3 linked regions of the Lytechinus pictus genome follow. The main gene of each other region encodes a partner of the protein of the gene in region 2 in a complex. Links are inferred from orthologs where the notes say so. Each region holds a gene or a part of one and is shown on either strand. Other genes may lie near its edges.

What was found.
Region 1: the proteins of general transcription factor IIF subunit 1-like (region 2) and RNA polymerase II subunit A C-terminal domain phosphatase-like are in contact, whole or in part, in an NMR structure (PDB 1ONV), measured with the Homo sapiens proteins. The link is inferred for Lytechinus pictus from reciprocal best matches to the Homo sapiens genes GTF2F1 and CTDP1. Residues at the interface, in NP_002087.2 of Homo sapiens: Thr470, Lys471, Leu474, Gln478, Ser486, Thr489, Val490, Leu493, Ala494, Leu497, Lys498, Leu500, Asn501, Pro502, Arg504, Met511, Phe513; in NP_004706.3 of Homo sapiens: Ala946, Asp947, Met949, Ala950, Lys951, Ala952, Leu953, Glu954, Glu956, Leu957, Asp959, Leu960, Met961.
Region 3: general transcription factor IIF subunit 1-like (region 2) and DNA-directed RNA polymerase II subunit RPB7 share a complex: the UniProt entries of both Homo sapiens proteins name them as parts of the TBP-based Pol II pre-initiation complex. The link is inferred for Lytechinus pictus from reciprocal best matches to the Homo sapiens genes GTF2F1 and POLR2G.

The regions. Positions count from the first base shown.
Region 1 is NC_087246.1:36,951,087-36,962,577, forward strand, and holds the start of RNA polymerase II subunit A C-terminal domain phosphatase-like, read right to left. Parts: upstream 6,549-11,491; 5' UTR 6,282-6,548; coding exon 6,046-6,281; intron 3,906-6,045; coding exon 3,822-3,905; intron 3,361-3,821; coding exon 3,276-3,360; intron 2,910-3,275; coding exon 2,784-2,909; intron 1,864-2,783; coding exon 1,616-1,863; intron 1-1,615. UniProt on the Homo sapiens protein: Processively dephosphorylates 'Ser-2' and 'Ser-5' of the heptad repeats YSPTSPS in the C-terminal domain of the largest RNA polymerase II subunit. This promotes the activity of RNA polymerase II.
Region 2 is NC_087255.1:31,039,014-31,049,666, reverse strand, and holds the start of general transcription factor IIF subunit 1-like, read right to left. Parts: upstream 5,342-10,653; 5' UTR 5,327-5,341; coding exon 5,217-5,326; intron 3,803-5,216; coding exon 3,730-3,802; intron 2,418-3,729; coding exon 2,212-2,417; intron 1,290-2,211; coding exon 1,119-1,289; intron 279-1,118; coding exon 167-278; intron 1-166. UniProt on the Homo sapiens protein: TFIIF is a general transcription initiation factor that binds to RNA polymerase II and helps to recruit it to the initiation complex in collaboration with TFIIB. It promotes transcription elongation.
Region 3 is NC_087251.1:16,536,653-16,547,544, forward strand, and holds the start of DNA-directed RNA polymerase II subunit RPB7, read left to right. Parts: upstream 1-6,163; 5' UTR 6,164-6,946; coding exon 6,947-7,083; intron 7,084-8,025; coding exon 8,026-8,185; intron 8,186-8,743; coding exon 8,744-8,794; intron 8,795-10,892. UniProt on the Homo sapiens protein: Core component of RNA polymerase II (Pol II), a DNA-dependent RNA polymerase which synthesizes mRNA precursors and many functional non-coding RNAs using the four ribonucleoside triphosphates as substrates.

The sequences.
Region 1 (11,491 bases), on a different chromosome or scaffold from region 2:
CAACTGTGTTTTTTGCAAGAGCCGCGTCACACGCGGATAAATATGTCATAATAACACGTCTGCTACGTGATCGACTGGTGAGAAGATCTCGATCAAATTTAATATTATTCGCCTTGAAATTATTAATTTAGGGTCTATGGTATCATTCTGAGGGAATTTACATATTAGGAATAATAGTACGGCCATAAATATACTTTTAATCATTTCCTCTTTGCAAGTTCTCCGGCTCGTAGATACAACTTCAACTGCAGTTTATTCCATTATGACTTGTTTCGCCACGGACACAGTCCCGAACGAAAACAAGGCATTAAAATCGTCTAAAATCGCTACAAAGAAGAACAGTTTTAACAATGTAGGGTTATATTATTGACTATATGTCTTTGAATAATTATTACTTCCTTTCAGTATCGTTCACATAAAATCAATAGCGATAAAATGAAGTTTTTACACAAAAGTAAATATGAAGGTGTACGTGTATAGTACACAAAACGGCACTGCCTTGTTTACTACACCGGGACCGAATACCCCCCGGTGACGTCACAGTCAAAGAACACCCGTCTCGGTAGGCATTGCATGAGCGAACTCAGGGAAAATGGGTAGGGATAAATCGTTCAAATTCACTATTTTGAAAAAAGAAAATGGGGGGTCGAATCACCTCTTAGTGTTTGGGGGGTTGTAAGGTTGCTATTAATGTAAATATCTCAATATTTGGAATCGTCTTCTTAATTCAACTTTAAGTTGGATGTGAAATTAGAAACTTATGACAATTTGAGCTTTGGCTTTATTTCACATTTACAGTAATCTGCACATCCTGGTCAGCATACAAATGAGGGACTTGAAACCGTCACCATCTCACTTTCTTCTGTATTTCATTACTTATAAGAACTCATTTTTTTCTTATTACAACGTGAAACGAGTTCTAGTTCCTTCCTGAACATGTGAAATTGCCATTTTTGCATCCTATTGTGATTTAATGATGAGCTTCCTTAATGTCAAATCGACTAAAACCTGAAATATTTAATAAATCATATTATACAAAATAAATGGTGAGGGTGTGACAAATACCAGTTATCTCACTGTATATCACCCAAGTTGTGCACAAAATCGTTTTGTAAATATGAGCCTAATTTCCATATATCTTACGCTCTTACATTCAATTTTGATGAAATTTTCTGCATTATGCTTGTTTTAATTTTCTCTATTCAAAACAATTTTAGCAATGAGTAAAAGTGTTCAATAAATAAACATGTCACCAATGGCTGGTGTTTCAAACTGAAGAGATATATAAATAAATAATCACAAAAAAGATGAATAGCATCTTTCAAGAAAAAATGAAATTGTATCTTTGAATAAATTCATCCAATGAGAGCATTCATCACACAAGGACGCACAATCAAAATGTTTGTTACAATGTGTCCTTCTTTGAAAAGGGAAGAATTGACACATACACTCAAACAAGGAATGCCTCAAAATTACAGAAAGAAAGTCCAAAAACATTTGTCAAATTTCTGTGCATTGTTACCTTTTCTTTCTACTTAAACTGTGAAACATTCCCCAAAGGACTACGATCTGAAAGCCCACCAATGCAAGGACACAAAAATCATTTAAAAAATACCTTAAATTTGCTTTCTTTGAGTTGGGGTCAAAGCACTCGTCCCTGGAGAGGATACGATGGGAGAAGAACTTCCCATCCGGGTCAATGATCTCCGCAATAGTATGAGCATAGAGGCGGACCCCCATGGTAAATATATGGAGCTGGTAGAACTGGCTGATGATGTCCAGGAACTGTTGGTAGTTATCCCTGATCCGAGTGTGGTACCAGGGGAACATGGGACCCTTCCTCAGCTGGAAATGGTGAACTCCCTGCAAAATAATCAATTTAAAAAAATCTTACTATTATATTACCAACTATTCAAAATAAATAAAAATCTTTATCTGCTGTCTGAAAGGAATATTGGTCGAGCAAAAATACTTCCAAATGTTACATGCACTGGTGAATAGCGTGTACTAATCTTCTGCTCATTCACACACAATCATAGAGGAAGAGGGAGAGGGGGGTCTCGCTATAGTCAGTACACCTACTGTAATATACAAGATCAATGCATGAATCGGGGAGACAGATCATTAAAGACAGTAGCTTTCACTGAGATTCATTAATTTTCAGGAACTTCTGTAATAATCAAGGAGCCTTGACAGCTTTGCTTCACTCTTGGCTTCAAATTATCATATTTTGGAAAATAATATTCTGGTCATTCGTAAAGTTGTTTTTAAAGGAGAATGAAACCCTTGAACCAGTTGAATAACATTTAAGAGAAAAATCAAACAACCAATCAATTAAGGTTGGAGAAAAATGGAATGAATAATAAGACAGTTATGGGAATTTGAATACCGAGATCACTAGTACTGTGTTAATCCTCCCATTGGCATCAATTAAGAACATATTTCACTCAACTTTTCTCTTTTATCTAGTCTTATCACAAGATTGGGTGTTCTTTTTTTATGAGAAGACATCATGGATGAATTGTTTGTCTTAGAGTCTTATCATTAGATTGCAGACAGAGATGTCCTGGGCTATCTTTTCATTGTCGAATGGGACATGTGTGACATAAAATATCTTGTTGGCCTTGCCAATAGGAGAGTCCCCTTTTTTTTTATTGTCTGTCCAATTCAAAACTTTCATTGATCTTATTCTCTGATTTTATTTTTTCCTTTCACAAAGGCTAACTTGTTCCACTGGTTTCATTCTCCTTTAATAAAAGCTTGATGAAAATAGCCTGACTTACAGGCATCTCTGCAGGGACATCATCAAGCGTAGTGTGAATTAGCGTCTGATCCAGATCAACAAGAAGAACCAACTTTTTGTGCTTGATAAGAGAATCCTCATCAATCTTGGCAAGAACATCAGCTTCCTGAAAATACGAATGAGATGAGTTTATTTTTTATTTCATCTATAGGCCTACTGCTTAAAAGTATTTTTTTAAATTTATTTATTGATCAGTTCATTTAATTTCATAATCAATTTAGATATTTCTTTTCATTTATCTATTCATTCACTCAATAATTACTCTGTTTCTTTTTTTCATTAGTAAATTAATCCAATCATTCATCCATTCATTCATTTATCAATTTATTTATTTGTTTCTGCAGACTTTACAATATGTTCTTGTATAAGTTAGGAGAACACAGCTAAAAGCACCTACGAGATGTTAAAATCTTAGTTTTTTTCTATAAAAAAATCAATTACCATTTCAAACTATCACAAAGAAACCACTTACTTCTTTACTGACATGAAGTTCAGGAATACTATGAATCATAGCAACAGATGCTTTGCTTGCAGGTGTCTGCTTGTCATCGTCATCCCTAGAAAAATAAAATTATATTTCGGGACTTATTGGTGTAATTCATTTTAGTTACAAATAGAGAAAATAACAATCACATCCAGCCACACTATTGCTAGACTTGTTTTTTATTGGTTGAAAAAGAATTTTCATAACCAGTGACATAACTGTCATGTGGATCGATTTATCAATGAAGTGTTATTAAAGTAATTTAGCAAACATCAGTTAAAAAATCATGACAGGATCACAGGAAGTAAACCAAACACTGGATGTCTGATTAAGGAAGGATTTTTCAAAAATAATTGTCCAGGTCTGTATTCACAAACCAAGAAATATTTCAACAAATTCAAAAGAATATGTATATTAAAGTTAGTTCTTTATTGTCCATTAAAATCTTCTTGTGAAGTTCAAAAGACCACATTATACCCATGCAGTTATTACAAATCCCCAAATTTAGATCACATTAGTTAGTGCGTTACTCACTTTCTCAAATCTTCCCCGCATTCTGCACACATGTCTTTCATAACTGTGGGATGTGAACATCTTGCAATCCTCAAGACAACCGACCTACAAAGAAAAAGAAAAAAGGTTTTAAGGAATAAATTCTCAGATATGATGCAGGGGTCGATTGGCAAAAATTGTTTGCATACTTGTAGATTTTGTGATGATGCTATTTTTATAAAGCAGCACCCTAAATTCAATTGCATAGCACGAATCTAACATGTTCAACCATCAGATATGTGCATATGAATTTGGAATGAACTTTCGCCCCAGGATGGGGGGGTACTAAGATTTGGTTCGGACTGGAGGCCGGTGTGCAGCTGCAACCTTGAAACCCATCTCTTTTTGAGCAATGTTGCCAGAAAAAGGTACCGGTACTTTTTATGAAGAATTTTCTCCCTCAAATAGACCCATGTTGAAAGTTTTTTTTCTCATTTGACAAAAAAAGGGCTCATCATGCACTCAAGACTAAAAAAGGAGAGGAAGTTAAGGATTGTCAAGCACAAAACCAAACCCCATGTTTAAGGATTTTTCACACACACACATAAAAAATTAGAGGGATCGATCGAGCAGGCACTGTACCCGGGGGGGGGGGGGGGGGATGCTGTGGCTGTTTTACGGAGTTCGGATCTGGTTATAAATTGTACAAATTTCCTACTTTTTTATCACTTTTTTTCTCTTAAAATTGATTCTTATCGTTCGTATAGACACACTGTGCGCCTACTCTCACTCACATAGTATTCGTAATACGCAATAAATTAAATGCGCGCAAGGTGGTTGGTTCCAAGAGGTGGTGGATATGTGGTGGACTCACTTTACTTGTCATCAAAAAAAAAAAAAAAATGCAGCCTCATCAAATTCCCTGGCCTGGATGGTGAAATTTCATGAAAAAAGAGCCTGAATCATCCAAATTTATAAAGCAGTTTTGTGAGAATTTCAAGAAAAAGAAACAAGAAAATTATGTGTAATCTCAAATTCAGGAGCTAAGCTGACATGGAGACAGACAAAGCCCCATGCACCCCCCCCCCCCCCGCCACTTAATTTATGATGGTGCATGGTCCCCAAGTCTGCGCACCTATATTATGAGTTAAGATTTAACATGAATTTCTTTTTATATTACAAAATCTTTCAGTTAATAATGTTCCCTATATTTTTATGAATAAGTGTACCAAATATCATAAAAATTTGAAAGAAATATAGGAATTTCTTAGAAAAAACCTCGGGCAGTCATTTTCAGATTGAAAAAAAAATGGTATGATGGTGGGCCCCAAGTCTGCGCACCTAACAATTTGAGTTAAGATTTAACATGAATTCCTTCTTATTTCACAAAATCTTTTGGTTAATAGTGTTCCTTATATTATCAAGAGTAAGTGTACCAAATTTCTCATTAAAAAATGAAAGAAAATATAAGATTTTCTTGAAAAAACCTTTGGGCAGTCATTTTCAGATTGAAACAAAAATGGTACTCCATGTCTGCGCACTCATTCACTTTGCACACGATTCGGGGATTTTGATGACAAAGGCTGCATTTTGAGGCCGTCACATGAAATGCCCTGAATTCATTATTTTCCACCATTTTGAGTCAGATTTTTTTATGAATACCTGTCTATGTATTGCATGTGTAAAGTTCGTGCTCGTTGCGTATCTTCTTTTACTAGAATCGCGCAGATACGCGGGTGCGCAGACTTGGGGGAACTGACCATACCCCATGTCTGCACACCCATTCACTTTGCACACATTTCGGGGATTTTGATGAGAAAGGCTGCACTTTGAGGTCGTCACATGAAATGCCCTAAATTCATTATTTTCCCACCATTTTTAGTCCTATTTTTTAATGGATATCTGTCTAGGTATTGCATGTGTAAAGTCTGTGTTCTTTGCGTATCTTCTTTTACTAGAATCGCGCAGATACGCGTGTGCGCAGACAAGGGGGACTGCGCAGACTTGAGGGAACCCGCCGTATGATTGTGTCTGTGCTGTGTGCATGCCATCACTTATCAGCCATGGCCATGGCCATGCCCATGGCAATGCATCAGGCTGTGGTTTATGAAATGAATATAGAATTATCTACAATACTTAACTTATCCTTAACTCCATTCATTATAGCTAATATTACTTTTCATAGCAACTGTTATCATAATTGAAAATAAATTATATCTACACTGTAATCCAAAACTATCCTAAAATACACATTTATTATGTATACCCTGGTTTCACTTCGTCTCCTTCATTTGCAAGGATATCTTTGACAGTTCCAACATCTTGAGACTTCAATTTCTGCTCAGGTCCTTTCTCTTCACCACCGATATCTTCATTTTCAGATCTATAGAATAACAATACGGTTCCTTTTGATACTTTCGAGCCAGATTTCACTTTCAATTTAGAAATTTTACAACTTTTTCTTTCAGGGAGAAAAATTTCCAGGGGCGCAGACGCCGCCATTTTGAAAAGAAAGAAAACGTGGAAAGAATTTTGCAGAAAATATTAGGTCCTTCTCAATCAGTCGTATACGCAAAAATAGTGAAATAAAAATTTAGTTGTAATTTAGTTTTATTTTGTCTAAAAACACTGTTTATAGTACTCGATTTGTTATAAAATTTCATATATGAATCAATTGTGTACGAATGACAGTGACCAATATTCCAGACTAAACTCATTTCTCCTTAATACAGCTTTCGTGCTGCGCACGCAGGCAGCGCTGAGAGATTCAAGAAAAAAATAGCTCAATCTCAACCTGCGTTTTCGTCGTCGACGGAGGCGGTGAGTTCAAAATTTCAAAATGTTTTATTATTATTTGAAGGCTTAAAGCCATAAAACTGTGAATAACGAGTACTTTAAAATCATCAAAATATTATCTTAAAAACAGTTAAACACAATGTGAGCGTTATCGGTGTTGGCCGCTGGCGCGCGTGATGGCCATTTCTCGAGACAATTTCCTCGATCTTGATCCTGGGGCTCCAGCGCCAGCTCCAATCTCTATTGCGGCGCTGCGCCAGGCCCAGGGGGCCAGGCTAGTATGATGGGGTGTCCAAACTTCGCGCACTTTTCAAAAATATTCATCAGGCTGATTTTTTTTCACAAAATATTCATAATTCATACAAAAAGAATTCAAGAAATAGTTACCACATTGACGGCAAGATCGTAAAGTATAAAATCATGGACGAAAATGTGAAGTAGGTCAAGGGCTTTCGCCGGTATCGCGATCTCAAAATTCTATTCCGATTGGCGAATGCGCGCTGTGCTGGAAAACCGTTAAGAAAAAGTGTGACCTAACTTCGCGGACCAAAGTTTTTGTGGAGATTTAAACAGAAACTCAAGCTGAAAAAGTGAAAAATTTATATCAGATTGATGGCAAATTGCTATAGAATCGGTTAGTACCATATTTAACTCACATTTTTGATGATTTATGCTTGCAAAATGGTGATATCGTGATGCTTGTTGAGAATATCAGATTTCTTCAAAACGGGCGCTAATGGCGACAAATTTGCCGATCTTTTGCCAATATTTTCATGAATACTGAACTCATCCTAAAGAAACTTACACCAAAGGGTAATTTTAGGTCGCTTTTCACGTTGATGATGTCAGATTTTAAGGATATTGGCTAGTTTTTTAGATAATGACCGTCCGCGAAGTATGGACACGCGCGAAGTTTGGACTCACTGCCATACTAGTAGTACTCGTAGTATACCCAGTTGTTGTGTGTCCGGACAGGTTGTGTGTCCGGACGATCAATTTTAGAAAGTCATTTGGAAAAATTTACAAGCGAAGTTTCATCAATTTTTCGTACAAAATGTAAGGAAATATTATGGAGAACAAAATGGAAGATGATTACAACTATTGAATTCATATTTTTAGTGTAGGCCTAGGCCTAATCCAAAGACAAAAAGAAGGCTTCAAAAATATAAAGTGTCCGGACACCCGATCCCCCATCCTACTTGTAAGTTGTAGGATGGGGGGGTCGGGTGTCCGGACACTTTATATTTTTGAAGAGTTCTTTTTTGTCTTTGGATTGCACTAAAGATATGAATTCAATAGTTGTAATCATCTTCTATTTTGTTCTCTATAAATTATTTCCTAACAACATTTTGTAATAAAAATTGATAAAAATTCGGTTGTAAATTTTTCCAAATGACTTTCTAAAAATTAAAATTGATCGTCTGGACACACAACCTGTCCGGACACACAACAACTGGGTATACTAGTTGTAGTAGTAGAACTCGGGGCTGAGCTGAGCCTGAGCTGCAGAGGAGAGGAGAAAGAAAGAAGGGGAAAGGAAGAAAGCTAGAAGTAGAACACACAAATAAGGGGAAAGCGCAAGGGCACCAATAGCAAACGGGGAAGTGGGGGGGGGGGGCAAGAGAATGAATGAAGAATGACACTGAAACTAACTTAGTCTTAGTTAGACTTAGACTATGTATGACTATGACTATGAGTACTAGAGTTAGAGTCAACCCCCCAAATCCAAAACATTAAACTTAAGTTAAAAGGAATCGATACAAATATGTGACGGAAATGAAAAGTACTAAAGTAATGATAACAATGATAATGATGGGGTAATGATGATTATAAATATAATAAAAAATAATAGCAATAATGATGTTGATGATAATTATAATAATTAATAATGATATTAATGGTAATAGAGAATAACAATGATAATTTTTATTATAACAATAATAAAAGATGAATAATATTAACAAACAATGATAATAATAAGTAAAAAATAAAAAATAGTAAAAATAATAGCAATAATAATGATGATAATGATAATACCCAAACGTTGGTTATGAATGAGTCTAAAGTGATTTCATTTGAAGGAATTAAATGAAATACAAGGAACGGAATGGATGGAAGGGGCACAATGATAAAGAATAATTATAATAATGATAATATAATAAAGAATAATAATAATAAAGAATAACAATGAATTATGATGATGATAGTAATAATAAAACAACAATAATAAAGAATAATAATGTATGATGATGATAGTAATAATAATAATGATAATATTGACAATATTAACAATAATAAGGATAATATAATGATGACAATGATGATGGTAATAATACCCAAAGGTTTTGAATGAGTCTATAGTGATCTAATTCAAAGGGGCACACTTTTCCTGGTGACCCCCCCCCCCCCCCTGAAGTTTGTGAACATCTTCTTCAGCCTCGATCATTCCTTGTCACCTTGCACTGGGAAACTGTCCCCATCCCCTTGTCGAACGAGCACGATTTTATGTTGTGAGGGGACGGTATTAGAGTATAATAAACTGATGGAGCTATCCCCACTATGTGCCAAACGAAATGTGTATCCCATAGCGTGGGGATTGTATCACGAGTATAGCTATACTGTTGGAACTTGGAACTGTCCCCACAGCGTCCAAATTGAAATGTATCCCATAGAGTCGGGACTGCATCATGAGTATATCTATACTGTTGAAACTGTCCCCACTGCCGTGAAAATCAAACTTGATTGAAGGAAGCCAAAAAATCAAAATCGGCCTGCAAATTAAGAAACATTTTTTGTGAATTTTGAAAAATGTGCATAAATTAATATATTTGATGAGTTTTAAAATTCTGTGTAGAAGTTTTGAATCCCCCACCTAATGCTATCATATAAAGCAAACAGAATTGAAATCGGACTTGAAATGACGAAGGAGAAGCATTTTGAAATTGTGGACGACGACAGATGAGGGACACCACACCACGGCATAAGGTCATCTGGCTTTTCGGGCCGGATGAGCTAAAAACATATAAAAATAATCTTCAAGTACGAAAAAATAATAACTAGCACATCAATGATGTGGAGCTCATCCGGCGTCTCGCAACAACTTTTAACACAATTTTAATTTCAGCCCAGTTGACATTGTAGTGAATTATATTGGTGACATAAGTTGAGGAATTAGAATTGAAATTGATGAAGAAATTACATAGAAGAAGCATTTTTTTGTGATTTATGAATAAATTTCGTATGAATTAGCATAAATAATTTTCTAGTCAAAATTTCTAAAAAACCTTGGTGAACCTCATGTAGCTCTCAGATGGAACCAAAAAAAATCAAAATCAGTCAACAAATAAGTATTTTTTGTGAGTTTTGAAAAATATGCATAAATTAGCATATTTAAAGAGTTTCAAAATTCTGTGTTGAAATTTTGTATACCACCTAGAGCTATCATATAAAGCAAACAAAATTGAAATTGATCAATAAATGAAGGAGAAAAAGCTTTTTTTTGTGATTTATGAATAAATTTTGCATAAAATTAGCATAAATAATTTTCTAGTAAAAATTTCACATTTCTGTGTACAAGTTTGGTGAACCTCATGCAGTTCTACCAGATGGAAGAAAAAAAATCAAAATGGGTCAAAAAATAAAGAGGAGGCATTTTCTGTGATTTATGAATAAATTTCGCATAAATTAGCATATATAATTTTCTAATCAAAATTCAGAATTCTGTGTATAAGTTTGATGAAGCTCTACCAGATGGAAGGGAAAAAAAATCAAAATTGGTCAATAAATAAAGAAGAAGAAGCATTTTATGTGAATTTTTTAAAATACCCATAAATTAGCATAAAAATTGTTCTATAGTCAAAATTTCAAAATTCTGTGTAGAAGTTTGCTGGACCTCATGAAGCTCTACCAGATGAAAGCAAAAAAATCAAAATCTGTCAACAAAAAAGAAGAAGCACTTTTGTGAATTTTGAAAAATGCACATAGATTAGCATATTTAATGAGTTTCAAAATTCTGTGTAAAAGTTTTGAATCCCCCACCAATTGCTATCATATACTAGTGAAGCAAACAGAATTGAAATGATGAAGAAGAAGCATTTTGAAATTGTGGACGGACGCCACGCCAGTTAAGCAGAAATTCTGTATAACTTCTGAAAAAGTAGCAAAATAGATCATGTTTATGTGCCCCCCCCCCCCAAAAAAAAACCATATTAGAAATGGTACCTCACTGTACACTCATTAGGCCTACTGTAGGCTAGTGAGTGGTGGCCATGTTAATACTGCCCTGGCCTGGGGCTGTGTTCTCTTCCCAGAGGAGCCATGGAAACATGTCACATTGATAGATAATCAACTCGGCTGCCAAAAAATGTGAAGATGTTGCTAGATCTCAAAATAACTAAATGGTTCACTCAAAGTATAGAAGAACAGGTGGGTCCAACTCACGTATTGACTTTTGTGTACATGCACGCAGCACCATCTAGTGCCAGTGGGAGTACCTACTTTTGCGACAGCCACCAAAATTGAAAATAAAAATATGGAGAATGTAATATTTCTAGCCCTAATATAGAACATGATAATATGATGTGGAAATAGTCTACATACCAAAATATGCCTTTATTCCGTCAAATTTTCGAGCAGGATTGAGTGGGTGTAATTGTCCATAGACATCGGTTTATTTAGTCACTAAATGGTCTAAATTCCTACCCTAGTTGAAGTATCGGCTTATGATCGCTGAAAAACCCCTTCTGGTATCAGTGCTTTTTGCTAGCATAGCGGGAAGAATCTTGACTGCAGTCACAAGGACGTGGGTTCGAGTCCCAGCTAAGGTAAGAAACACTAAAAAAAAAAAAAAAAACTTAGAGAAACAGGAAGTGAATGAACCGTAAGTCCCGACAATCTTTTGTTATTTTGGGTGGCTG
Region 2 (10,653 bases):
CAGTCATAATGAGGTTTTTTTGTCTATGTTGACTGTGATGAAAAGCTGCTTACATGATTCCTGCAGAAAATATGCAGCTCTGACTTTTGATAAGGTGCCTATATCCCCTTCTTAAAAACATGATGAATATTTTGACAGAAAATGTGGAAAGGTAAGTTAATCTTACAAGATCTGAGCCTTTTGATTTAGATGACTTTTCCTCCATCTCCTCTTCCTCCTTTGAGTCCCTGAGTTTTTTCTGCACCATCACCGAAAAATAATTCATCGTTTTGTCTCTCCTGCAAAAAGAACAGAGGCATTTAAAGTATTAAGTAAGATACACATTTTCATTCTGACACATTATTACTCATATTTTAAATTCTTCATTATTCAAGCAGCCCCCTAATCCCATAAGTGCCATTTTCATTCAATGTATCAGCAGAAAAATTAATTCATGCTACTATGATAACACTATGTTAAATCATCAGAGCAATAAAAAAATAGGAATCAATAGAATTTGTTTCTAAGCACTGCATGATATTACCTGACTTTGGCATGGCTACCCCAATTGGGTGCTCAAGCATTCAAGGAATTCCTTCCTACCAAGTACCAATTTACTAAACATGGATGAAAAGTGGCAAGGGTAGACAGATGTCTTGCCAAAGGACACAAGTGCTGCAGTGGGGTTTGAAATCAGGACCTAGTGGTGCAATGTCCAGAGACTGAGCCACAAAACCTCTATCCTTTTATTAAAGCAACTTGATGTCAGAGGGAATGTCTCCTTTGAATAATAATAATAACAATAGGCATTTATATTGGGCAATCTATCTAGAAATATTCTATTCCGAGGCGCGTTGTTATTATCATTATTACCCCGGCTTTAGCTTGAGCTGGCTTTCAGCGCTCATGCATTCAAGGAATTAATCCTGCCAGGTACCCATTCACCTCACCTGGGTTGAGTGCAGCAAAATGTAGATAAGTTTCTGGCTGAAGGAACTTACACCATGGCTGGGATTTGAACCCACGGCCCTCTGTTTCAAAGTCAGAAGACTAATCCACTGGGCCACAACGCTCCACTACGCTCCATTGAATAAACTGAGTAGTGATGAACTATTTGAGACAATGAAAATAAAGTTTACCTGCCAAACTCTTCCTCTGCTTCCTCTGCGTTTAGAGTCTTATACGTCTGCATTGCTGTGAAGTTATACCAGGAGTCAACAGGGTATGCCTCAAATGTTCCATCAGCCAGCTGAGAGAGGATGAAGTAACTAGAGTTCTCATTTATCCTTCCCTCCTTCCTTCCACGATACCTGCAACAAAGAGACAGACTCTAGTTATATCATTACACATTTTTAAAAATAAATAAAGATGTGTATCAATAAAACATGATTGTCTTCTAAATTGTAGACTACATGTACATGTATTTTTTTTCTTTATAAATAACCAGAGGCCCGTCTTACAAAGTGTTGCGATTGATCTGATCAATCGCAACTATGGATGGCCAGCAACGTCAACATATAAAATGCATGTTTGTTCAAAAAAAAATTATAGATATGATGTATATTTATTAATTCATTGATTTCTTGGCAATTTGGTCTGTTCTCCTTTGTTTACAAAGGACATTTTGCAAATTTCCTGTGGAAAGTTATGACACTGTTGGATTTTCAGAGTTACGATTAATTGGATGAATCGTATCTCTTTGTAAGACGGGGCCCTAGGGCTGTCACCTCATGGCACGAGGGTTAAGGGGAAAAAAATAGACATTTTCTGGGCTTACACATTGAAAATATAATTTCAGTATCATTTTGTCTTTCAGTAGAGAAATTAGTGCCTCCCATCCAGTCTTTCACTCTCCTCTTCTACTTTTTCTTTCTCCTCCTCCTCTTTTCTTCCTCCTCCACTTCTTTTTCCTCCTCCTCCTTCTTCTTCTTCCTCCTCCTTCTTCTTCTTCTTCTCCTCTTCCTCCTCCTTCTTCTTCTTCTCCTTCTCCTCCTCCTTCCTCTTCTTCATCCTCTTCTTCTTCTTCCTCTTCTTTTTCTTCATAATCATCATTGTCTCTTCTTTGTCTTCTTCTTCATCATAATCATCATTGTCTCTTCTTCGTCTTCTTCTTCATCATAATCATCATTGTCTCTTCTTTTTCCCCCTCTCCCTCTCCCTCTTCTCATTTTATGTATACTTCTCCTTTTCCATGTTCTCAACCTTTTTCTACTGATATATAACTTTACTTACTTTTTAGCTGTTTTTCCATCAGCTGCTCCCTGTTTGAGAATCCATGGCTGATCCTCCTCCTTATACTTCTGTGCGATGATGCCGTATTTCTTCTGCCTTGCTTCCTCTTTCCTCTCCCGACCAAACTCACTCCCTGCCCCAAACTTTGGGAGGTCATCGAGGTCCGTCTTGTAGTGGATCTTGTTGTTCTCTCGTTCCATCTTAGCCTAGAGAACGGTGGTCAAAGGAGGTATTGTGGAAGTTATTTGTCTATGTCTTCGGATTTAAAAAAAAACTCATTCTGAAGATGTACATGTAAAACAATCTAAACAATCTCCTTCAAAATAAAACAATCCAAACAAACTCATTCAGAAGATGTAAAACAATCCAAACAAACTCATTCAGAAGACGTAAAACATTTCCCCTAGCATGAATATTTAATTAATAGAAATATCCCAATTGTAGATAATTGTATATCTTGGAGTATGATATTAAGGGATGGTCCGGGCTGAAAATATTTATATCTTAATACATAGAGTAGAATTCACTGAGCAAAATGCCAAAAATTTCATCAAAATCGGACAACAAATAATAAAGTTATTGAAGTTTAAAGTTGAGCAATATTTTGTGAAAACAGTCGTCATGAATATTCATTAGGTGGGCTGATGATGTCACATCTCCACTTTCCGTTTTCTTATGTTATTACATAAAATCATAATTTTTTCATTATTTCATACTTGTGTGAAAAGTATGTCTCCCTTATAATTAAATAAGTTGCAGCAATAAATATCTAACGCACTAAATCAGTTGTCAATCCAATATTTCTAGTTCTTGGAGGAAAAAATTTGAATAAACCTAATTTCATATAATAAAATACAAAAGAACAGGTGGAGAAATGACATCATCAGCCCACCTAATGAATATTCATGATGACTGTTTTCACAAAAATATTGCTAAACTTTAAAATTCAATAACTTTGTTATTTGTTATCCGATTTTGATGAAATTTTCGTCATTTTGCTCAGTCAATTCCACTCTATCTATTAAATTATACATACTTTCAGCCCGGACCATCCCTTTAACTCTCTTGGCTTATGGCTTAAATAGTACATAGGAAGATGTTTTAATAAACAGTCAAACACTCTCATTCTTATAAAGTATCAATGAAAACTTAAACACTGGTCACTAAGCTTTTATAAGACTGGACTGTTAGAAATGACATGTCAAGTTTACATGTAATTTTCATAATTCACAACACCAGGGCTTAATCAATCGCAATATCATTGTTATGACAAGTGACCCTGTATTTGAGAGGGGGGGGGGTAGGTCACAAACATGTACATGTACAGATCTAAGTTTGACTTAAGATTGCACTTAAATTCCTAGTTGTGTGTGGTGTAACACATTACCTCATAGTGTTGGACATGCACTATCTTGTAAATGAGATGTTGTAGGTCAGTCAGAATTTCAAAGTTTGTGACCCCCCCCCCCTCCCCCTGATTGCACTCTCCACTAATTAACCATATAATTGCATGTGTACCTGCTTCCATTTGGAGAGATCAACATTGTCATTTCTATTGAATTGCATCACACTGTACTTCTTCCTCTGATTCCTGTGGAAAAAAAGAATAGTATAACTGTATAATGTTTGGCTTAGGGGCTTGAGGAGGGGCAAGGTCAAGGGCGGAGAGGGGGGGGGGGCAAAATACTTTTTATTTACAACCATGCATGAGAAGAACATAGGGCAGTGAACCCTGTGTATAAAGACAACTCAAAGTAGACAAGGAAAGCAGTCTTTACGAGCATATGGTCCTTATGGATAGGTTGCTATAATACATGTTTCAATGCAGAATACTATACAAGGAAAAAATAGAAGGTTGTGGTCTTTACAGGCATGTTGTCCTTCTATACAAGTGGTTGTTTAAGCAGGTTTGATTGTGTCATTAATATTTAGTTTTTAAATGGTGAGCTCCTAACTCAAAGTGGAAATTTGTGGAACATATTTGGACGCTAAAATGCGACTGAGGGTGAGGGGGGGGGGGGAGGGTACCCACACATTCCATAACAAACCTTTTCATAATCTATGCTTCTGGAAAAGCCTTTCTTCAGTATATAATCAAGTTTATTCCATTTCTTCAATATCTCAAGTTTTTTGTTCAATTGCTATATAGCCAAATCTAACATCCTACGTAACAAAATAAGCTTAACAAAGACAGTAGACATACGCTAATCTCCTATTTTCCATTGCATCACTTTAGCCTAATTTCAAACCATGTCAAAAACATGTGGTAATCCAGTGTATGTGTCCCATTGAGAAGTACAGTACATATTTCTATTGATGCCCTTTTTAAATGCCCTTGGATGCCCAAAAAGGTGAGTGCCACATTCCCTTTCCTTAAAAGTGCCCAATCAAAAATGACCTAGCCCCTTTTAAAGTTGAGCCCTGCAATTGATGGTAGGACCACACAGAAATTAGACCAATTTGATAATAGACCAAGTTTGTATTAAGAGCCATGATGGTGTCAGATAATTTGCAAATTAGAACATCTGCTAGTAGACCAAGTGGATAGTTGGATATAGAAGTCTTATTATTGGAGATGAAGGTGAAGAAGTGTGGTAGCATCAGTCAGTCTTGTTTTTTTTGTTTTTATTTACATTGTTCTTTGGGCCTGATGTTGCCATCATGATCTGATGAAAAGTGGCCAGTGACTGCCACATAATTAAATAATGTGACTAAAGTAATTAGAATTGGAATGGGCAGTCAACCCAAACCAGATATAGCCAGGGGCCAAAGCCACTTGCTCCTGGGACTGAAACAGGGTATTCCCCTTCACAGCTCGTGCATATGGATGCAAGCTAGGGTTGTCACCCCCAAATGGAGCCTGGCCAGATAGAAGCCAAGCTAGACAAGCGAGCAACTTTGACTTCTAGCTTCCTGTTTTAAGACAATGAGAGAAAAAAAGCTCATATGCAGGATACAAAATTAGGACTAATTAATAGTAATTGAACGTTAAAATGTACACTTACAGAGGGAATCTGAAATTGAATTCCTTCACATCTCCTGTATTGGGTCTAGTAGGTGTTGATAAGGATGACGAAGATGTACTCTGTGAATATGAAAAGAAAAATATATACATTATTTTCCCTTCAAAATTATGTACTTTACTTACTTGACAACACTAAACTTCTCTTTATAGAGATACTGTAGGGGAGATCAGTTTGGTTGGAACGCGGGGTAAGTTGAAACATTGTAATTTTCTTTAACGCCTTTTAATAAATTTATGCACTACTGCCCTCAATTTATTGCCATTATCAACTGCCATCCACCATATTACAGACAACACATGTGCAACAAGCCTGGTGAAGTTAGAAAGGAATTTTTGTTTTTAATTGCATGTAAAATCATGCGCACACAAATACGCGTAATCCTACTACACAGTCGGCTTGCGTGAGTGGCTGTATAATAGAAAACATAAAGTTCAACAAATCAGAATACACACCTTAAATTTTTTGAACTTGTAAAAAATAAAGCAAAACCATGTAATATAACAGTTGTAAGTAGAAGTATAATTCTTAATTGACCATGCAGTGTTCCAACTTACCCCGTATATGGGGTAAGTTGGAACGCTTGCGATGGTCTTGTTCAAGGTGGATTTTTTTCAGTAATCATCATAGAGTTCAAAAATTTATGGGGTACATTTGAAGCCCTTTATGCTTTAAGCTGATATATTGATTGTTTCTCAAATAAATTCTATTTGGATTTTACAGCCATTTTTGTCAAAAATGTTCCAACTAACCCCGATCTCCCCTATGCACTATCTTGTTTTCATTAAACTAAATCTTTCTTGGCCTAGACTGTGTCCTCCTTATTATTGCAGAAGGCTGGAATGAGGAGAATGTGGACAGAAGAGGAAACAAGGAAGAAGAAGACGTAGAAGAAGAAGAAGAGGAAAAGGAAGGAGAAGGAGGAGAAGGAGAAGGAGAAGAAGAAGAAGAAGAAGGGGAAGAAGAAAAAGAAGAAGATGTAGAAGAAGACAATGACGTACAAGAAGAAGAAGAAGAGGAAGTAGAAGAAGAAGGAGGAGGGGAGGAGAAGAAGAAGAAGGAGGAGAAGGGGAAGGAGAAGAAGGGGGAAAAGGAGAAGAAGAAGAAGAAAAAGATACAAGGACATAAAGGTAAACCATATCATATACCAACAAATTCCAATTAACATATTAAACAATATTCTAACTGTTGAAATTAATGTATACAATATTAAAGTTAGGGTAATCAGAAACTAAATTCACATTAAAAAAAGTTAAAACAACTTGTTTTTTTTCTTTTAAGAATAAAGAAATCATACTGATGTGTTACAGACATGTTCATGCAAGTGACTGCTATCATAATCTCAAACCTGCACAACTTGATAGCCAATTTTAAAAGAACAAAAATATCAAGAAAGTGCACATAAAACTTGATGTTTCATTGCTAACAAATCAAATCAGAGATATTTGACAAAGAATGAAGAAAAAAGGCAAATAAACAATGAATCATGATGAGAAAATAGGAAAGAGATATGCAATAATTGAATCACAGTCACTCAGTCATGAAGGTTATGTACAACAAGTAGGCACTAAGCACCAGTTTTAATTAATGGTATCATGTTATGGCATGACAAGTTCAGAAGGGTGTCAAATTCTTTGATCCCTTGCACTTGGTCGTATCTGATTTCTAGTTTGTATAATTTACCAATTTCACATGGATTCTGCATGAATTTTAAATAAACTATAAATATATACAGTGCTGATATCTGCCTTTACAGTTGTGTCAAGAGGCATCCTTTTCGTAGCATTTGTATTTAAGATGGATTTTAACCACAAGGAGTGTAATTTACTGCTATGTATCCTCTGTGAGGTAAGCATAAATCTTCTCCCCGCCCCCCCCCCCCCCCCCCCCGGAATCTTCTCCTCCTTCTCTTCCTTCCTATGTATTGGTGTGCAAGTGAGTAACACAAATGTTTCACCTGACAAGGTAATCTGTCACCAATTCCCCTTGTTTTAACACCAAAAAGACCCCGTTCTCATTCCAGTCCTGAAGCTAGTTTAGTGGAAACCAAATACTGGAAACTAGTTTAACAAGTAATGGGAACGCTTGAAGCATTCTTGGAGGATATCTTAAGTGGTCATTCAAACTGGTTTGGAAGACCCAAGACTCATTAACTACAATGTGGAGCGTTGTGGCCCAGTGGATTAGTCTCCGGACTTTGAAACAGAGGGTCGTGGGGTCAAATCCCAGCCATGTCATAGTTCCCTTCAGCAAGAAATCTATCCACATTGTGCTGCACTCAACCCAGGTGAGGTGAATTCCTTGAAATGCCGAGTGCTGGAAGCTAGCTGCTTGAGCTACAGCCGGGGTAATAATAACCAAGTCCTTTGGAAGCGCATAGAGACGTTATTTATGTGTTATGCGCTATACAAGAACTGAGTATTATTATTATTATTATGTATTTTCATGTACAGTTTACTTTCTCAGTTTATAATGACATTTCAAAAATTTAACTTTGGTTAAGATTTCAATGTTGATGACGCTGATGCCGTTCCCGCAGCCATTGCGAAAGTGGCAGAGGTAATAGTCTCGCTTAAATTGTCTTATTTTGGTATTACTGGAAAGTGCCATCTTGAATGACATCATCATCCTTGTGGATGTCTTTACCAGTCACAATATATCACAATTTGTAAGCGGGTGGGGGGTCCATTGGACAGCATCTGCAAGAAAAAATATAGAAAAAGGGGTGTTTCTTAGAGGTAGGCGCAAACAGCGAAAATTTGAAGAAAAAAAACAACCTTAATCACGTTGTAGTAGACCGGCCAAAAGTAAAAAAGTGCTCTAGATAAGGATTCGACGGCAAAATTTGTTAATGCTTGGCATACCAGCTAAAAGTCTTGCAAAAATACCCAGGAATAGCGTACGGCCAGATGCCAAGCGCAATTTTGCGTGAAAGTGTCATTTTTAGCGTAAAAACTGAAAGAATGTCGAAAATCACGCATTTTGATATTTTTATGGATTATCATCATATTTTTGGTTATCTTTGATATGGAATTATTTTTATTCAGAGTTTTAAATTATAAGTCTCATAAATATGCATTTCAAATTTGAATATTACACACACACACTTGGCACAGGGAAACATACAACCGCGATTTCCTCAAAATAAAAGTTTGTGAAAACTATCGATAGTTTGAAGTTTTTTTTACGCAGCTTAAATTCTTCGATTTAACTGCGTTTATCCATCAAATGTATAGTAAATGTCCTAATGTCACAAATATTAAAAGAATTTTCAAGTAAGATGGAAGATATCTCACTTTATGTTATCCGAAAGGAGACAATGTGCATTTTACCAGGTGCACATTTTGAAAGAAAAATTGAAAATACCGTACATTATGTACATAATTACATGTATAAGTACTTACTAAATTAAAAGCGAGTTTTTAATTACATGTATAAGTGCATTCTAAAGCGAGTTTTTAATTGGATAGCACAAGTTGTCAATTCTTTGCATCCCAGCTAAAAGTCTTGCAAAAATACCCAGGAATAGCGAGCGGGCGGATGCCAAGTGCACTTTTGCGTGAAAGTATCATTTTTTGCGTAAAATTTGAAAGACTGTTGAAAATCACGCATTTTGATATTTTGACGGATTATCATCATATTTCTGGTTATCTTTGATATGGAATTATTTTTATTCAGAGTTTTAAATCATAAGTCTACTAAATATGCATTTCAAATTTGAATATTACACACACACACATGGCACAGGGAAACATAAAACCGCGATTTCCTCAAAATAAAAGTTTGTGAAAACTATCAATAGTTTGAAGTTTTTTTTACGCAGCTTAAATTCTTCGATTTAACTGCGTTTGTCCATCCAATGTATAGTAAATGTCCTAATGTCACAAATATTAAAAGAATTTACAAGTAAGATGGAAGATATCTCACTTTATGATATCCGAAAGGAGACAATGTGCATTTTTAAATTATCAGGTGCGCATTTTGAAAGAAAAATTGAAAATACCGTACATTATGTACATAATTACATGTATAAGTACATACTAAAGCGAGTTTTTAATTAGATAGCACAATTTGTCAATTCTTTGCATCCCAGCTAAAAGTCTTGCGGAAAAACTGAGGAATAACGTACGGGCGGAGGCCAAGTACACTTTTGCGTGAAAGTATCATTTTTTGCATAAAATTTGAAAGACTGTTGAAAATCACGCATTTTGATATTTTGACGGATTATCATCATATTTTTGATTATCTTTGATATGGAATTATTTTTATTCAGAGTTTTAAATGATAAGTCTACTAAATATGCATTTCAATTTGGAATATTACACACACATATATGGCAATATGAAATATAAAATCGTGATTTACTAAAAATAATAGTTTGTGAAAACTATCAATAGTATAATGTTTGTGTTCCGCATCTCAATTTCGTCAATTTTAGCGCTAACCGAATAAATACATAATAATTGTTGTCATGGCACATAAAGTGAAAACAAATGTTGAGATAAGATGCAAGATATATCATTTTATGTTATATATGCGAAAGATAACAATGTACATTTTATCGGATGCGCATTTCTGATAAAATACAAACAGCGCACAATATTACATCTATATTGCACATACTAATATTAATCAGTGCGATACTCGTCATGATATTATAAAGGATTATGTTTACTTTTGTAGAGTTCGATCTTCTTGCTATTTCCGCGAATTAATTGGTGCTGAACGTAAATCTACCTGTGGCGATATTCATAAATAGGTCTGATATTTAATTTGCCGTTACCATGGTAACATTAATTTTGTAGGAATATCTATATCTAAAATCATAGAAACAGTAGCGTACCTAGGATTTTCCACAGGGGGGGGGGGGGCAAAGCCGTCGGCCAAAAAATTTGACAAGCAAAAACAAGGTCTGCAAGCTCGTCGGGGGGGGGGGGGGGGGGCATGGATACGTCTTTTGCATGGTTTGGGACTCGTCAGGGGGGGTGGGGCAGACTGCCCCCTCTGCATAGAAAATATACATGTATGAATAAAACGATCGAATTAGCATTTTTAAACTACTCTGACTGTAAATCTACATTTTACTTCAATTATTGGATTATCAAAGTCTAAAAAAATATGGCCGTTGCCACGGCCATACCTATTTTTTTGTGTCTCGCCTGCATGCATAGCAGAGCGGGACTAAAGGAGCCACTTTGCCGGCGGAGGCGACGGTAGTTTTGATATAACAGCGTCATATCAACCTTGAAATCTTAACCAAGGTTACGTTTTTTCGTTATGAACGTAAATTAATTACACTTATACAGTATTCAGGTATTACTGATCGTCTTGCACAAGTTTTAGATCACATGATTAAGGTCAAAGGTCATTTAGAGTCACTGAGCTTTGGCCATATGGGGGTATTTTTTCGTAATGTCAT
Region 3 (10,892 bases), on a different chromosome or scaffold from region 2:
CTTCATTCAACTTGGGCAATTCATTAAAAAACATATTGTCAATATCTTCTGCACTATCACTATTTTTGTATTCATATAAATGCGCATAAAACTTCTTAATAGTGGTTAAAATATCTTTGCTATCACACAAAATTTCCCCGTTTTTACTGTATATCTCCTTAATCACGCTTTTCCTTTTATTTGATTTCAATAATTGTTCAAAAAAAGCTGAATTCCTTTCACCTTCTTCGGACCATTCCACCCTCGATCTCACCTTTAATCCTTGACGAGAGTAATCGAAGAGCTGCTCTAATTCACTTTTTTTCGATTCGATTTCATCTTGAATTCCATTGTGAAAATTAGTAACCAAATGATGTTCTAAATCTTTAATATCCTTTTCTAATTTTTCAACCTTTGTTTTTCTAATTGCTGCTTTTTTACGAGAGAATTTCATAATATATTCTCTAAGTTTCATTTTCATAAAATCCCAAAATTTAATTTTACTATTTATTTGGTCTCGCCAGGTTCCCTCTATTTCAGAAACCTCCATTTTTATCTCTTCTACAAATTCTTTATCATTACATAAGCTGCTATTGAACTTCCAATATGATTTCCCATAAATAAAACTCTCAACCAAGTTGCTAAATTCTACACAGACCCCAGCGTGATCAGGTGTAATAGAGGGTAAGATGTCAGATTTTTTTACAAGCTTCTCTAATTTCGAAGAGATGAAAATATAATCTAATCTACTCTGAACAAATGGCTGTTTCTGTCTAAAAGTAAATTCTTTTTTATTTGGATGACGCTTACCAAGAGCTTATCTAGCTTATCTAGCTTATCAAGAAAATCACCTAATAAATCTTTGTATTTATTTTTTGAAACATTTCTCGCACCCATGTAATCTAAGTCATGGTCTATACTTAAATTGAAATCTCCCCCAATTATCAGAGAGCATTCTTCACTAAATACAGATGAAATTATTTTGTCCAAATCAGAAAGAAAATCACATTGGGCCTTTCCTTTATCTCCTGTTGGAAAATATACACTTCCTAGTATCAACTTTTCACTTTGACATTTACCTTTTATTATAATATATCTTCCGCCTTTGTCTATTAAAACTTTTTCTATCACAAAATCAACATTCGATTTAAACATGAGAATAGTTCCCCTACTGTGATTACTCCCGTGACTAAAATACATCTCCCCTTCCCAATCAGCCTTCCAACTATTTTCAATATCTTGTGTGCTAAATGTTTCCTGTAAAAATACTACATTTCCTGACCTTTTGCACCATTGAAAAATTTTCTTTCTTTTTACTTTATCTCTTAGCCCTCTTACATTGACTGTGAGTATTTTTAAATTACCCCTCATTGGTGAAGAGTTGCCACAGTGATAGGACACGAAATGGTGCATTCCCTACTTCAGAAATAAGAGCTTTTAAGTAAAGTTGAAAATAATACAAGTACAGACAGACACAGAAACTTCCAATTACACACATAGCACCCCACTCATTCACATCCACACCAGAACTGGAAAACATACCACTCAACGTATCACTCCACTTCATCCCAACAAACATAACACATACACTTCTGCAAACATACTCAAACACACGCCCATAGACTATCCTTTGCACGCACAAACACCCCAAGACACTCTCACAAACACCCCAACACACGCACACCAGCATGATTGACATATATCCTATAGACCCGCAGTTCCGCCCCCCCCCCCCCCCCCCCCCCCCCCCCCCCGTTATAGAGCAGCCATTTGTATGCTGTCCATATTAACATTATCTCCCTTGTCTACAGAAAATATCTACCTATATAACGCTGAGAAAAAAAAAATAATAATAATAAAAGAGTCCGAAAGAATAACCTGATTCTGTGTTTTAGCCCTTGTCCCATATCAAAGCTAGACTTAAAACGTTTAGACCTTCATAACATTTGGAGTGAACACATGTAAGAGTGAACCCAAATAAACCTACATAATAGGATATAACTCACTTGAAACGTATAGCATACTTAAAGATACCAGTCAAAATGAATACAGGACATCCAAGAGGGTTCTTATTGTAAAAGGTATTATCTGACTGCACCGATAAAGGATACAGTTGATACTATGTTCCAACCTGTCCAAACTATTCCTATTCTTCTACATCCTAATTGAAAAGCAAATGGCAAAAACTCTTCCGGATACACAAAAATTCCCAATAACAATAACATCGTTCCAATAAACATATACAGCAGGACTTGTATACCTGCATTGGCATATTTGTTATTCTTCTGTAAACCAATATGAATGAGATTTGGTATGAGAAGAGCTACTACCATGTGTCCTCTATTTATAATAAGCATGATAAGTGATACAATGAATGAAAGAAAAAAAAAACACCTTTCAATCAATTCAAATCAAATGACAATACCAACAACAAAGTCATGATTATCCTTAAGAATGTATACGGGAATCTTTCAGACTCGTTCTGTGATGTAGTCATACATGTTCCACCCACTAGACCCATTACATTATGAATGCATGCATGGAACAAACATTTACCCCACACAATAAACGTCATTCAAAATCGCTCTGTCCCCCAGTTCATCAGAATAAATGACAAAACTCTTCAAAGTACTTGAGATCCCATGTAAAATAGCGCCGTTCTAATCAGAACAATCAGAAACAAATGAGAGCAAATTTCTTGTCACTCGAATAGCTGGTTACTTTCAATAACATTAATGGAGCTATTCAAATTGCCTATGCTAATTTGTTTAGAGCCATTGTAACACAGATATCCTAATAATGTACTCTGCCAATTAAAGCTATACCTGCCTGAAGCAAAATCCTTCCACTCCTTCATTATTTTGTTTCATTGAATATGTAGATCAATAACCCCTAAAGAAATTTCAAAGACTCTAATTGTTGGAAGTGTCATTCCATGTGACTATTATCATTCAAAAATTCATGGGATGGGCGATAGAAAAAAGACTTAATGCATAATCACCAGCAAAAGGATCTTGCTTTCAACTCAGGGTCATACAGACGAATGAATTATCAATACAAAATTGCAAATGCACACAGAGCTATTCATCCTGTCTACCTTCATTAGCAATATTTATTCTTTTATAAACCGATTTAAGGTTATGCATTTAAATTAGACTGTGCATTGCATTACTTTTTCCCCCTTTTTTGGGCTAAAAGTGGTATAGTGAATGAGCCAAGAAACCCCTTCCTACCTTGCAAATTCAAGCTCAAAATTAATTAATTGCAAGTTAGGTAATATTTTTGTACCTTATTGTTTCAACACACCAAAGATTAGTGCATTAACTCTCTCAAAAATATGTAAAAAATTAAAGAATTTTAAAGAATGTTATTTAACATCTTTTTTGCCAGTCCCTCTCTCTCCCTCCGCCTCTCGCTTACAATAATGACGATACCAATGTACGATCGGAATGCGCTATTTTTTTTTTTTTTATCCAATTAACATCATAACTTTTGAAGGAAGATTTACCTTTTTTGTCTTCCTTTTTTTCAGACAGTTACTCCTCCTATCCGCTATACAAAGCGAAGAGATTGACATAACCAGATACATGTAGCTATAGATATTGGCATCAGACCTACAACATTTAACTAGCATTCCTGTCATTATTAGAGGCAGTCCCCGAGAGCGTATAGAGAGGGAGAGAGAGAGATAGAAAGAGATCATAAAATAAAAATGCATATTGTAAATACATACAATGTATACGCATATCCACTTATTTATAATGGATAAAAAAAGTATCTCTTCAAATCCATAGTTATTTTGCAAAGGAAATCCATACTTATTTTACAAAGTAGCTCCACAGCACTTTAATTCACTGCAGTTAAAAAAAAAAAAAAACTGCAACTTAAAATGCCATTTCCTTTTTCCTCCCTTTCTCTTGGTTTGAACTTAAAGTTTTGTTATTACTTATTCCCACAAATATAAAAGAGAAATGGTGAAAGAAAAAAAAAACAATAGAAGAGGCTTTCTTTAGTAGGCCTATATTTTTAAATATTTACTTGGTACATATAAGAAGGCCTAAGAATAGCCTGCACAAGCAATCAGAGCCACTTTAGGCTCTAATAAATATTTATTTAAAGAAAGAAAAAAAAATATATGTATACAGGTCTATGTTACTTTTACACAAAATAAAGGGTGATTATTCCATGAACGTCTTCTAGTTTCTTCATTCTAGTTTCTTCTCGTTGCATAATATCTTTGATAATAAAAAAAAAATATCAGCTCTCTAGCTTTCCACTTTTGAACATTGCGTCTCCTTTCCTTCCTTGCGTCAAAAATAAGATAAGATAAGATAAGAGTACGCAATATCTTTTCTCACACCACGCTTTAGTTATTGCTGTTATATTTTCCTGTCTTCTTTGTCCTGCATTTCTCTTCCTTTTTGTTTGAATAGGAATATTCTTCAATCATCCTCATTGCATCTTTCAGAAATAATATACAATTTTGGTTTTAGTTGACTCGCATTTTGTTGTGAAATATTCATCAAACTAAATTCTTATCACAGTTTAACAGTTTAAATGGTGTTTAGAAGGGTCTCACTTTGTGAAAACCTCTTTAACTCCGTAGTCTAGAAAATTAAATGCTTAGTGTAAGCGAATGTAAACATAACTGATACTTATCCAAGCTTTTCTCCTTGTATTCTCATAGCGCCAGTTGCTTATTCAGGGAGATTGGGCTCTGCACCAGTAGCTACCTGAAGACGTATTCCTGGGTTACCGGGATGTGTCTCTGTAGGAAGTTGCCGAATGAACACTTGTTGTCTCTCCCGTGGCACGTAAACTCGATCGATATACAATTTCCAAGGTTCGCTTCGGGAGAAATAAGCCATCTTACCTGAAGACCGGGCTGCCTTTAAGGCTGGCAATTGAGCTCTTTGACGTTCTCTTATTCGCAGTGGGAGATCCTCTGTAATAAACATGCGTGAACCTTTCAAATTCTTCGCCCTTAGAAACACAGCAGCGCGATCTTTATATCTTAAAAATCTTGCAATGATGGGGCGCGGTCTTCTGGCAGAGTTGATCCGATGGGCTCTTTGAAATTCAATCCTATCTGCAATCGCTCTATCAAATCTAAGATGCTCCACAAAAAAGTCCCGTAAAAGGTTCTCCACATCTTCCTGTTGATTACCTTCTACTATTCCGTGAAAAAGTAAATTTTCTCAATTAATGTATGTCTTGAGACTGTCAATTTCCTGGTTGACTATTTCCTTATCCTCCTCTATTTTCTGCTGAAGTTCTGAAATATTCTGTCCATTAAAAGTGACCGAATTCACAACATCGTTAAGTTTTTCTTCAAATTTCTTTATTTTGGCTCCAAAGTTAAGTTCCAAAACTTGAATTCTTTCTAGTACCTTTCCTATCTCCTCTGCTAACATATTCTTAATGGCAGGCAAGAGAGCAGGTCCTTCGGGACTAGAGCCGGTAGATGGTCGAGGGCGTTTCCCGCCTTGTTTCCCTCGATGACCGCTCGACATTTTCGTAGTTACCGATATTTTTTCAACTTCAAATATCCACGTTACATAATGGGAGAGAGGAGGCGAACCCGCGATACGTGTTACTCAAGGACGAACATGCTGATATAATTTCATGTATATACTTATAGGTAAAGTGCGCCATCTTTTGACAGATGATGATGAAAGTGGATTGAACGAGCAAGAAAATAATGCTGAGCGCCTAGAATGCAGCTAGCAGTACAAGCTGCAGACAAACGGTACAAACCGGCATAAGAATAATATCGCATGCCCTCTTTAGGCAAAAATTGATATCCATGCTGATCAGGAGGCATCTACATGAAGATCAAGCAAAAATGCTTTTTTTTAATTAAAAAAACAGCAAAGAGAATTCAACAAACGATCATATGGTTCGGTAAGTGTCATAGCACAATTAGAAATCTTAGCTATAATGGTATGTCATAGTTATTTGAGCAAAAAGGGTGTGAAAGATTCGCGTGCACCAGGTGCATATGAATCCTTCGCACGCGAGATGAATTGAACCCATGGGTGGCACGGGCCATGGCGCATGCAGCACTCGGAGTCGTACTCGCATGGCCAAATTCAAATTGAACACAAGCCATAACCTTGTTCTCTGTAACATCTCCATCAAACATTGCCAACCTTATTGTGCCACACATGGAGTGGCACAATATAAGGTTGGCAATGTTTGGCTTATTTTCTCTTTTTCTTTGGGACAAATGCTTGATTTTTTTTACACTATCAGTATCAGTTTCCATTACAGCTATTCATCATATAACTTGGCTCTTAAGTAAATTTGATTCTTTGAATATTTTTTCTTAATTAAAAATAGAGATTAAAAATGAAAATTTTCTTGCCATATTACTTTCCACTAATAGAAGGGCATGTTATACACAAAAATATGCCCAAAATTCAAGTTTTTGAGCGCTCTGGTGAATACAAAAATTATTCCCAAGTTACTAATGAAAAATATATTGCAACTGTACAAAAATTAGTATTTTGGGGCACAAAGTGATATCTTAATGATTTTTTAAAGTGTGTGCTGTATACTGCATGGGCTCCAATATAATTTTAATCCTGTTGGCCCAAAATAGTTATATTTTTAACTAATATTACACATAATGAATGAATTAAAAGTAGAGGAGCGTTTACTCACAGACTGTTATTGTCGCCATCTTGCCGTCTTAGTTATCGTAGCCTAGCTACAAGAAGCGTATAGAGGGCGACAATATCATGAGCAGTGCAAAATTAGAATTTAAAAAATACTTGTAGTTGTATCGGCCAATAAATATCATGAATCTTAGCTGAAAGATAATGCTTTGAGATGCCTCCACTCAGCAATCGATATGTCTCAAGCTGCTAAATCAAATTATCAATACTTGGTATCAAAATAAAGTTAAAAATTTCTCATGATCATCCCATTTTGAAAATGGCATAATTGTTATCAAATTAAAAGCATGAAAGATTCTGTTTTTTTTCTCCAGGTATCACTTGAACATGAAATTCTCCTTCATCCAAGATACTTTGGACCGAGCCTACTCAACACTGTCAAACAGAAGTTGTTCACTGAAGTAGAAGGGACCTGTACTGGGAAGTGAGTACACCCTCCTATTTTGAAATTTATGAATAAGCCTAAGCCACTTTCAGGATAGCACTTGTGTCAGCAATGATCCCCCTTTAAAAGTATGATGAAAAGTAAATCAGTTTATAACTTTATTAGGGAATCATTCGTTTATTGACAATGACATATTTTTCTTTTATCAATCAGTTATATATGGTTGTAAAGTTTGATGGAATATAGGAATCAATTGTATGAATGCAAATATTTACACATTGTGCAGCACTCAAACCAGGTGAGGTAAATGGGTATCGGCAGGAAGTAATTCTTCAAAAAGCTGTGTGCACCGGAATCTGTAGACTAGCGTAATATAGGAGCGCCTTGAGCACCTAGGAAGGTGGATACGTGCACGATACAAATCCTATGTATGTAGTTCCTTGTGCACGGATTATTGGGTTATTAGGGACTTATATTATCAGGACTTATATTATCACACAACAGTCAAAAACATATTCGGCTAGAGCCTGTCAGAATTTAATCATGTTTCCTACATGTTTGAATCACATGAAATATTTTGTTATTGGAAGCTTTTGTATGTTTTGTGAATTTGGATAGGTTTATACATTCTGATGGTTGATCTAAACCAAAAGATTTAAAAAAATAATTAAAAGCTCACCAAAATAGAACCTATTGAGGCAGAGTTTCACTTGTCTGAATATATAAACGTTTAGTATTGAAGAGGATCTCAGACTATGAGTAGAAATATCTGTTATGAACAATGTTTTTGAAGGAATGTAGCACACTGTTGCATGATATTCTATTCTAATGTAGGTATGGCTTCATAATTGCTGTTTAGGACCATTGATAACATTGTTGAAATGTCTAGTATTTGAGATGGTTTCTGAATCTTAATTTATGGACTTGTATGTTTTTGTAGGAATGTACCTTACTGATGACATTCTATTCTAATGTATCTAGGTATGGCTTCGTCATTGCTGTTACGACCATTGATAACATTGGTGCTGGGATGATACAACCAAGCAGGGGCTTTGTTCTCTACCCAGTCAAATACAAGGCAATAGTATTCAGACCATTCAAAGGAGAGGTAGTAGATGCTGTAGTCACACAGGTCAACAAGGTGAGAATTTGATTTTGGACAATGAGGTTACTACTGACCAAGGTTAAGATGATAGGTCACATATCAAGTGACCATGACCAACAACCAGTGTTGGTGATTTGTGATGTTGGTGATGATGTAAGTTGGTCACCTTGGAAACAACTGATAATCAGTCTCAACTGGGTGATATAGTTTAAATTTTAACTTGTGGGTGAAAGCTAATGATATGAAGGTAATATTTGTCCACATTGCCGTTTCCTGTAATAACTTTACTACCATATCTGATTACTTATGAATTCATGTACTTGCAATATGGGTATGTATTTGTGATACTAGTAAAGTCATTTCATTGAAGTGGTAGAATTTATAGATACATGTAAATTCTGGTACTGCTATAATATTAGTGATATGAATCAAGTTTTTACATTTTCTCAAGTCTTGCTGATTTAAACCCCATTCTTCCATGTGCTTGTTTTTTTTCCATGTGCTTGTTTGTTTAACCTGACTAAAGATAGAAGTATAGAAATAAATTTTACTTTGAATTTTCCTTTAATACATGTATATCTTAATTTTTCCTAGGTTGGCCTTTTCACAGAAATTGGACCTTTGTCATGTTTCATCTCAAGACATGTGAGTACTTATTTTTGTCTCACCTGCGAAGCAGAGTGAGACTATAGGCGCTGCTTTTCCGACGGCGGCTGCGGCGTCAACACCAAATCTTAACCGAAGTTTTTTAAATGACAGCATAACTTAGAAAGTGTATGGACCTAGTTCATGAAACTTGGCCATAAGGTTAATCAAGTATTACTGAACATCCTGCCGTAGTTTCAGGTCACATGACCAAGGTCAAAGGTCATTTAGGGTCAATGAACTTAGACCATGTTGGGGGAATCAACATCAAAATCTTAACCTAAGGTTAAGTTTTTGAAATGTCATCATAACTTAGAAAAGATATGGACCTAGTTCATGAAACTTAGACATAAGGTTAATCAAGTATTACTGAACATCCTGCTTGAGTTTCACGTCACATGACCAAAGTCAAAGGTCATTTAGGGTCAATGAACTTTGGCCAAATTGGGGGTATCTGTTGAATTACCATCATAACTTTGAAAGTTTATTGGTCTAGTTCATAAAACTTGGACATAAGAGTAATCAAGTATTACTGAACATCCTGTGCGAATTTCAGGTCACATGACCAACGTCAAAGGTCAATAAACTTTGGCCATAATGGGGGTATCTGTTGAATTACCATCATAACTTTGAAAGTTTATGGATCTGATTCATGAAACTTGGACATAGAGTAATCAAGTATCTTTGAACATCCCGTCCGAGTTTCAGGTCACATGACCAAGGTCAATGAACTTTGGCCATGTTGGTTTTTTTTTTTGAATTACCATCATATTGGTGTAATTGTATTTGTCTAGTTCATAAAACGTGGACATAAGAGTAACCAAGTATCACTGAACATCTTGTTTGAGTTTCAGGTCACATGACGAAAGTCAAAGGTCATTTTAGGTCATTGAACTTTGGCCATTTTAGAGGTGATTATTAGATTGCTGTCATAACTTTCAAAGTCTATAGATATAGTGTATAAAATGTGGATATAGGGGTAATCAAGTATCACTGACAAGTTTTAGGTCACATGATCAAGGTCAAATATCAATGAACGTAGTATTGTATCATTATATGAATGGTGTTTTTGTGAATAATTATTTTATAGTAGTTTTCAAAGTCAGTACTGCTGCTATATTGAATCGCGTGATGCAGGTGAGACCGCCAGAGGCATTCCACTTGTTCATGTAAGAAAATCATACGAAATCATATTATCTGTTGTTCTGTTCATGATTTGCAAATATTATTTTGTTGCTTAATTTCCCTACAAAATTTGGAACATACAAAGCTAAGTTTCAATGTACATTGAAATTGGTGTGAGGCAAAGCTATGTCATCTGTTAACCCTAATTCTCCCGGGGCCATAATGGCCCCCCCCTCGACAATTTTCGCGATATATCCGCTGCGCAAATTTTTTGACCTCACCGCTCACTGACTTTTTACTTTCAAGTCTCGCGCAAATTTTGAGACCAAATTTGTGACGACCGGATACGCGGTTACGACATTACGCAACATTATGTAAGTGCATGTCAGACCCAAAATTGCTCACAAACATGATTTCATGTACAAATCCAATGCAAATTGTGTATTTAGCCAAAATTCATAAATGTATCATTATTTCTACTTTTACTGATTGAATTTAATTAATTTTGCCTTGCTTATGATCAGAATTAAGTCTGGAACGATTTCCATTGAAAAAACAATAAAAAAACAAAAAGTAAAAAAAACAAGGAAATACATAAGAAATTCATAAAACAATAAAATACATAAGAAATTGATTTCCAAACTGAAGTTTTTTTTAATTGCGATTGTTAAGAATGCTACAAAGAATATTTTAACCAAAAATTAGCATTCTAGGAGCTTTATTTAGTGAATTAGAGCAAAAAGTATGATTTATGCATAAATTAGCATAATTAATTCATATAAAATAAAATCTCATTATTTTGGAAAATTTTACCATACAGCCTTGTAGATTACATCGCACACAACCAGCGTGCAAATTTTTGCGTCGCTCGAGCGATCAGCGGCCGAGATCTTAAGGGGGGGCCATAATGGCCCCCCCGGGAATGACAAGAATCAAAATACCCCGGGAGATTGAGGGTTAAGAAGACTCAACT